Linked DNA regions of Rattus norvegicus. The protein of the gene in region 2 interacts with the protein of the main gene of each other region in a pairwise test. Links are inferred from orthologs where the notes say so. Each region holds a gene or a part of one and is shown on either strand. Other genes may lie near its edges.

Evidence for each region. The genes of interacting proteins can lie anywhere in the genome.
Region 1: the proteins of Mbip (region 2) and Mcm7 interact in binary tests that used the Homo sapiens proteins (3 or more experiments, as listed by UniProt). The two-hybrid records come from large-scale screens. The link is inferred for Rattus norvegicus from reciprocal best matches to the Homo sapiens genes MBIP and MCM7.

Annotation. Positions count from the first base shown.
Region 1 is NC_086030.1:22,160,372-22,164,567, reverse strand, and holds the start of Mcm7 (DNA replication licensing factor MCM7), read left to right. Parts: upstream 1-1,389; 5' UTR 1,390-1,448; coding exon 1,449-1,479; intron 1,480-1,926; exon of another isoform or gene 1,927-1,997; intron 1,998-2,159; exon of another isoform or gene 2,160-2,383; intron 2,384-2,788; coding exon 2,789-2,868; intron 2,869-3,466; coding exon 3,467-3,756; intron 3,757-3,828; coding exon 3,829-4,009; intron 4,010-4,196. Other genes in the region: Ap4m1 (AP-4 complex subunit mu-1), read right to left, coding at 1-91, 168-274, 734-858, 959-1,016. UniProt on the Homo sapiens protein: Acts as a component of the MCM2-7 complex (MCM complex) which is the replicative helicase essential for 'once per cell cycle' DNA replication initiation and elongation in eukaryotic cells.
Region 2 is NC_086024.1:79,543,449-79,546,988, reverse strand, and holds part of Mbip (MAP3K12-binding inhibitory protein 1), read left to right. Parts: intron 1-1,689; coding exon 1,690-1,728; intron 1,729-3,164; coding exon 3,165-3,272; 3' UTR 3,273-3,540. UniProt on the Homo sapiens protein: Inhibits the MAP3K12 activity to induce the activation of the JNK/SAPK pathway. Component of the ATAC complex, a complex with histone acetyltransferase activity on histones H3 and H4.

The DNA of each region.
Region 1 (4,196 bases), on a different chromosome or scaffold from region 2:
TTCATCCAGGAGTTCGTAGACAAGCGCCACATTCCGTGAGATGGTCCCCTCATTGAGTGAGCCACAGTAGTCACCCAAGAGAGTGGCTAACCTAAGGAAACACAGCGGATTGTGTGAATAAACCTCTCATACACTCCTTCTTACGTGCCTGTTCCAGCCCCACTCACCTGGAAAGTAGCTCCAGGAGGCTGAAAGGAGAGACATTTTCTGAAGTTGTGGCCACCAAATAGAGACCACTGTGTCTGATGTGAATAAAATGACGATCATCGTGATACTAAGGCAGAGTTGAGGACAGAGGCATTATTAACAAAAGACCAGAATTGTAGTAATGTAGCCTGCAAGATAGCACCCTGGGGTCTCCAATCGTGATGGTAGAAGTGTGACGCTGGGCGATCCCTGAGACCTAAGACCTGGCCACCTAACGTGTAAAGGTAGCACCTACCTCTCTGAGTTATTGATAGTCTAGAGATGGGGATGCAAGGCTCTGCATCTGGCGTCTTGTCAGTACTCATCTATCTTACTTGGAGAAACGAATCCTTCCTCCTTAAAAGCTTCTTCCTGGTCGACACCTCTGTCTCCTGCGCGGGATACATGTCGGCCCGGAGATCCCCATAATAGATCTCCGTAATAAACCTCGCCTTTGCTCATTACATCCAAAAAAAAAAAAAAAAAAAAGCTTCTTCCTACCAAGCCGCCCTTGACAGGGAGAGATGAGGCACCCACCCACCTCCACAGTTCTAAGCCCCTGCTCGCCTGCCACAGTAGTTACCATGACAACCGGGGACTCGCCTCCCGGCAGTCCCGTCAGCTTCCGGTAGAAGAGCTCGGCCACATCACGACCACCACTATCCCCTCGGACTAGCCAGATGGAAAGATAGTTAAGGAGCAGGCGACACAGACTGGCCTGGTTTCGATTTCTACCCACCTCCCCTATCCCGTCTCCCGGTCCAAAGGATACAGTCTTTATAGATGAGCGGATCCCCCTTGGAAGACAGAATGAAGAACTGGGAAATCATGGCCGTTCTGAAGGATAGACAAGAAGACGGTGAAAGTTGAACCCACCCCGCCTTGCGGACACGGAACAAAAGGCCGCACTGAGGCTGGCGCTTTAAGAAACTCCTCCCACACACACACTCGCGAGCATTAATTTCGAACCGCGGGAAATCGGGTGCCCAACCCAGCAGAATCAGGCAATCTTCCACCGGCCCGCCCCCTAGCTCTCTGTCATTCAATCTAGATTCATCCAGTGATTGGTTAAAGTTAGGGGCCGGCAGCGGTTGGGAACCCCCTCTCTGATTGGCCCGTATTTAGCCGTATGGGTCACATGGGTGACGACGTTTCGCGCCAATTTCGGTTGGAGAGCTACGTACCGCTGCGCGTTCGTTTTCTGCTTCCCCGGAGTGAGACTTCAGAACCATTTAAGTCTTGCCGCACGGTCCCCGGCAGCGATGGCGCTTAAGGACTATGCGATTGAGAAAGGTGATGCTCTATAGGGCTGGGAACGGCGTCCTCGGAGGGAAACTTCTCTACCTACACCTGTTGAGGGGAGCTTGGGTCTTGGGGGGAGCCGAGATCTGTGACTCTGGGGACAAGCTAACTGCACCTGGGATAAGCAATGGGCATTAAGAATGGAGGAAGCAATTCTGCTTGGAAAAGATGATGTGGTTGTGTTAGGGAGAGAACCCAGTGAAGGCCACAAAGAGGAGGGGCGTGCTCGGGGAAGACCAGATGACGTGGAGCCTTCAGTACGGGGTTTGAGGGACTGGGTTACTAGACCAGCCTCTGCGCCTTGGGGCACTAGCAAATTCCCGCGTGCACTCGAGGCGCGCCGGAGCCCAGAGGCGGGGCTTGCTGGACCGCTCCGCTCCGCGATTGGTAGTTTTCGGCCGCCCTCCAAGCGGAAGTAGAGGCGGGCGGAAATGGCGCTACCTGATCGGAGGGCTGTCGTGTGTAAACAGTGTCCTTCCGCGCGGTGGCATCGGAGATAACTGCTCTAGGTAGGGGCGTGCCTGGGATTGGGAGGCTGAGCGCCGGGCGGTGAGCGTTGGCAGTATGGTGAATCCGAGTGGCCCTTTGGAGTTCTGGCCAATCCCCGCACGGCCACCGGTTTCAGGCGGAGGAATCCTGGGTTGTGAGGCGGCTGGAATCCAGGCCCATGTGCTTCTTTGTTTACTAAGAGCGGAAGCAGTGGCGGGAGCCGGGCATGGGGTGCCGAAGGAGGCCTAGTGGCAGACGTTCTGGCGGGAGCCGGAAAAGAAAGAGCTGTACTGTACTGGTAGAGGGAGAACCGAGGGTCTTAGGTCGACTGTGAGCAAGCTGAGAGAATTGAAGAAACTGAGGTTCCTAACTAAGGCAGACACTGGAATTTCTTGAGGGTGGTTAGGTAAGATTATTGTAACTGCCCAGGGACCTATATTCTTCCCTAGGTAAAAACAGACTTGTGAAAGGGAGCACTGCTACTTTGAGAACTTGGTAGATTTGTTTTGAATGTTCATTTAACTAACTAGTTCATAAGTCCCGCCAAGCGGGTTTCTTAGTTTTCCGTTAAGAGTTTGAAATAAAGAATCCAAAAGGGAGAGTGATTGTTTTTAAGTTTTTTTGCTACGTTATTGTTTGTGAGAGCACGTGCGCGTTTGCACGGGCACATCACAGCTTACAGTTGGGTGCTAGACACCCGCAGAACTCTTCCAACCTGTGGGTGGGTCCCAGAGATTGAACTCCAGTTGTCAGACTTGGCGTGGGCTTTACACCTCACTGTCCACAAAGATATTTTATTTCATATTTGTAGAAAAAGTGAAGAAGTTCCTGCAAGAGTTTTATTATGATGATGAGCTTGGAAAGAAGCAGTTCAAGTATGGGACCCAGTTGGTAAGTCTCAGGGTGGGTTATGGGGAGTGGAGTGGTGTGTAAGAACTTGTATAAGGTGCCCTACCTTGTGATAGCAAGAATGGCTATCAGTGAATGACTTGGTTTTGATTGTTTTTATACAAAGTTTTGAGTTCTTCTATGTTTACTTTTGGATTTTCTTAGCTGTTTTACTTGTATTTATTCCTGTATGCTTGTGCTCACATGGGCATGCCATAGCATGTGTGGAGGTCAACAGGACAATTTGTGGGAGTCTCCCACCACATGTGTTTTGAAGAGCAAGCTCAGGTCATCTGGCTAGATGGCAAGTGTCTAACCTGCTGAGCATTCTCATCCATGCCTAGCTCTTGGTTTTTAGGGATAGTCTGTGTGTAGCACAGACCAGCATCAAGAACACCCTATGTAGTTACATAGCTAAGGTTGGCTTTGAGCTCCTCATTCTGTTGTCTTCTAAATCCTAAGTGCTGGGATTGGGAACACCTGTCACTCTGCTGGACACTATTCTGTTTTTCCCCATGGGAGGTAGGCCAGTGACTTAGAAGCGCTTTTGTGGGTGAGGTGAACTTGACTCTAAAGTGTTACTGTCTCTTCCTTACCTCAGGTTCATCTGGCTCATCGGGAACAAGTGGCATTGTACGTGGACCTAGATGATGTAGCTGAAGATGACCCTGAGTTGGTCGACTCAATTTGCGAGAATGCCAAGCGCTACTCGAGGCTGTTTGCTGACGTAGTACAGGAGCTTCTGCCTGAGTACAAGGAGAAGGAGGTGGTGAATAAGGATGTCCTGGATGTTTACATTGAACACCGATTGATGATGGAGCAGCGGAGCAGAGACCCTGGGGCAGTCCGGAACCCTCAAAACCAGTATCCTTCTGAGCTCATGCGTAGATTGTAAGTACCTCTGTGGGAAGGGGCAGGGACTTGCTCTCCAGGGCCTTGTTGACAAATGTTTCTTTCTCTTAGTGAGTTGTATTTCCAAGGCCCAAGTAGCAGCAAGCCTCGAGTGATCCGGGAAGTACGGGCTGATTCTGTAGGGAAATTGTTAACTGTGCGTGGGATTGTCACTCGTGTGTCTGAAGTCAAGCCCAGGATGGTGGTGGCCACATACACTTGCGATCAATGTGGGGCAGAGACCTACCAGCCGGTATGTATACAATAGGGAAAAGAAAAATAGGCCTCTGTTCTCTGTCCTTGAAATTGTCCCACTGATTGTAATCTATCATTTTCTCCCAGGCTATTACAAACATTTTGGTATCCATTTAATTCTTGTTAGCGATTTGATCTCTGGTTGTTTTGACTTGGAATATTTCAAGAGGCTCTTATACTTTGAA
Region 2 (3,540 bases):
TTAAAATGTTTACCTTTATACATAGATAGCTTCATACCCTAAAAAAAAAAAAATCCATATACTATAGTGTATCTAAATGTTCTTGTGAAATAATTGTATTCAAACCTAAAATAAGCCCCAAAGACTCAGTTCACTGTTTTGGTTTTTTTTTTTTTTTTTTTTTTTTTGGTTTTTAAGTCATTGATCCTTGATCCACTGTGTACCTGTTCTCATTCTGGGTTTTGTTTGTTTTTTTTTTTTTTTTTGGTTTTTTTTTTTTTTTTTTTTGGTTTTATGATGATGATGTGATCATTTGTGGCATAGAACTATTGGTATTCCATTGATTACACTGTTGGCATCTCAAGGGAAAGTGTTTCAATGAGTATCTAAAAAAGCTACTTTTTAGGTAGGTAAGAGTCTGCACAGTGGACAGGTTTAAGTTAAGCTCCACCTGTCCATGTGGCCCACCGTAGCTACCTAGCTCAGCTTGGCAAAGAGGAGCATACTTATCTGAGCTCTATTATTCCAAGTCTAGTAATTCTAGCGCTGAATGACTGCTATTTAATACAGCCACTCGTATGAGGCATTAGGTGGTATCTAGACATGAAAGAGAATCTGAGTTTTAATTTCTTCTGAATCTTTGTGGTCATATATGTTCATTAAAAGTTCTTTCATGTACATACATTATGTGTTTTTCTTTTTTTTTTTTTTGTTTTTTGGGTTTTTGTTTTGTTTTTGTCAGATCTGTTCCATTAGTAATTGGACACCCAATAACTTCATTACATCACAGCTCAAAACACTGAGGAGTTTGTCTCTGTAAGCCCTGTCAGCTTGAGGAGAATCTAACATTCAGGCTAGTGTGCCTGTACACACACCACCAGGGATTGAATCCAGGGCTGGGCAAGTGTTTTACCAGTCTGCGATCTATTTAGCCCCACTGCAAGAAAATGAATTTAAATGGAAATTATAAAAAATGAGAACACAGTCTTCAGAGTGATGTAGCTGCAAAGTCAAGACTTGAATTCTTGCTCCTCTTGGGTCTATCTAGTGTTGGCTTCTTCCACTGATACATGGCAAGGCTACTATAAATTTTAGGTATTTTAGCCACATACAGCAGTGTCCCAGAGGAACCTTTGTTTTCTCACAAGAGAAGTTGGCAGAAAATTTCTCCTTAATCCCAGCAGACCCTCCTTACTCATTGGCTACAGTTAGGCTATGTGCATGTCAATTTCTAAACAAGAACATTGGGGTGGGGTAGGCACTGCCTTGAGTCACACAGAGGGCACATAGAGCTGCTTGCTTAGACTGGCACAGTGCCTTCCATGGTCAAAGATACCTGTTGCACATATGCACGTGTTATGTATGTGTTTACCTCTTACTTCAGTATGCCAAGTACCTTTTGCATCTATCCATTGTTGCTTCTCTTGGTCAGTTTCCCAGATGGGAGGGTTCCCAAGAGCTATTACTCAGATTATGAGAAGCTGGTAACTAATGAAGTAGGTATTTGCCAGAGAGGAGCTTGCTGTTACACTGTTATATACTATTTGTAACAATACCCTCCTCTGTGGGTAACTTTGTAGACTATGCTTCCTGATTTTAGAACTGTTTGGGGTTCACAAAGGCTTTCCATGTATCTATTACACAGTCTTCTACAAAGGGAGTAATGCTGATGTGTCCTAAATAGTCATTATTTTGTTACTTTTATACTAGAACTTTTCTGGAAAAAGAAGAAAAGTCCAACCACCTCAAGTAAGTCATTTTGTCTTCCTTTAGACTTCAGAAATAGATTAATGAGTTTTATACTTTATTAACAAATATGTCTACTCTTGTTGCTTTTAGTCATACCTTGGCAGACTTTAGGTTGAATTAGGGAAGCCATTTTATTTTAAGACCATAGAATGATTTCAACAGGCTAATGAAATACAAAAATCTTCACCTTGTTTTTAATAAAATATTGGGTTAGAAAACATTTAAGTGCCCATATAACTTTAGTCTCCTCCCACCTTGCCTTTTATGAGCACTACTAATTAGTGTTATCTAAATCAAAAAGAGGTGACATCGTGTCTGGGGAGATGGCTTAATGAGCAGAGGATTATATAACATTCAAGAAAACCTGAGTTCTGATCCATGGCATCTGCTTCAAAAGCAGAGCATAGCGGTGTGGTTCTGTTACCTCAGCACTGGGAGACAGCAGCTTACGGGGCAGCTGTCTAACCAGTGGGCTCCAGGTTCACTGAGACTGTCTCAGAAAGTGTGATAGGGAACAGTTGCGGAAGATAGCCACTGTTAGTCTCTGACCACCATAGGTATATGTATCCACAAACACATACTCTGTGCTCCCCTCCCCGCCACACCCATACACAAATGCTAATTACAGCGTAGCTCTCTGTCCAAAATACTTAATTAGTTGAATTAAAATAGTATAATTTTATGTCTTAATGATGTAAATTAGAGTTGGGGAAAACTTTTAAAATTTGCTATTTTTTTTAAATAGTATGTTGCTACTGGGTGTGGTGGTATATACCTGTAATCGTAGTACTCTGGAGGATGAGATAAAAGGGTCAGAAGTCCAGCCCTGCACTATATATGCAATATATATATAGTAAAGCCCTGTCTCAGCATGCCATGTCTCTCAAAGTAGCTTATTACATACTTATGTACAATTTTGAGTCATTTTTTGAGAGTAGTCTTTGTTTCAGAGATTAGTTGGTCCCTCAGAAGGAAAGTTCTAGGTATTTTAGGCATCTAAGCTAATCCTCCAGTGCTTTTTTTTTTTTTTTTTTTTTTGCTGTAGATTATGAGTCATTGGGGTTTTGTTTTGTTTTTTAAAAAAGCTTTTATTGGTATTTCAAAGCTCAGAAACTCCAGGAAAGCTTTGTCACTAGGGAGGAGACTCAGGTCAATATGGCACTATGTTATATATGCATTAGTTCTGTGTTGCTAGGATGAAATCCAGGGCTTCCCATGCGTCAAGCAAATGCCCTGACATATGGTTACAGCCCAGAAAAAAAATAGAAGCCTTGTTAGTTTATACCTCTAAATTATGGCACAGTCACCACACACAGCTTTCAGTCTCAAAACTACTATACAGTAATGTGCTGCTGAATAGTTAGGTATTTATAGTTCACTTAGCACTTTATCTGCCTTAAGAAACTTAAGTCTTATTCAGCAATTTGTGTCTCCAGCAGAACTATTCACTGGCTGAACTGGATGAGAAAATTAGTGCTCTCAAACGAGCCCTGCTCAGAAAGTCGAGAGAAGCAGACTCCATGGCCTCTCACCACCTCCCGTGAGACCACACTGTCACGTTGCTTCCCTTTAAGATGCGAGTGCGTGTACCTTACAAATGCTTAACTATTTGCAATGTATTCATCAACATAACCTTGTCTGGAAAGTCAAGGTTTACTTTTGCATGAGACTGGCCGACAGCAAATAATCAAATATTGCAGTGTTTGGAAATGATATAACCCTTGACCATAGCACTGTTGGAATTTGTTTCCTTCTGTTTTAAAGGAGGCATTTTGGATAGTACAAAACTTAATTTGAAAGAACTTCTTTTGG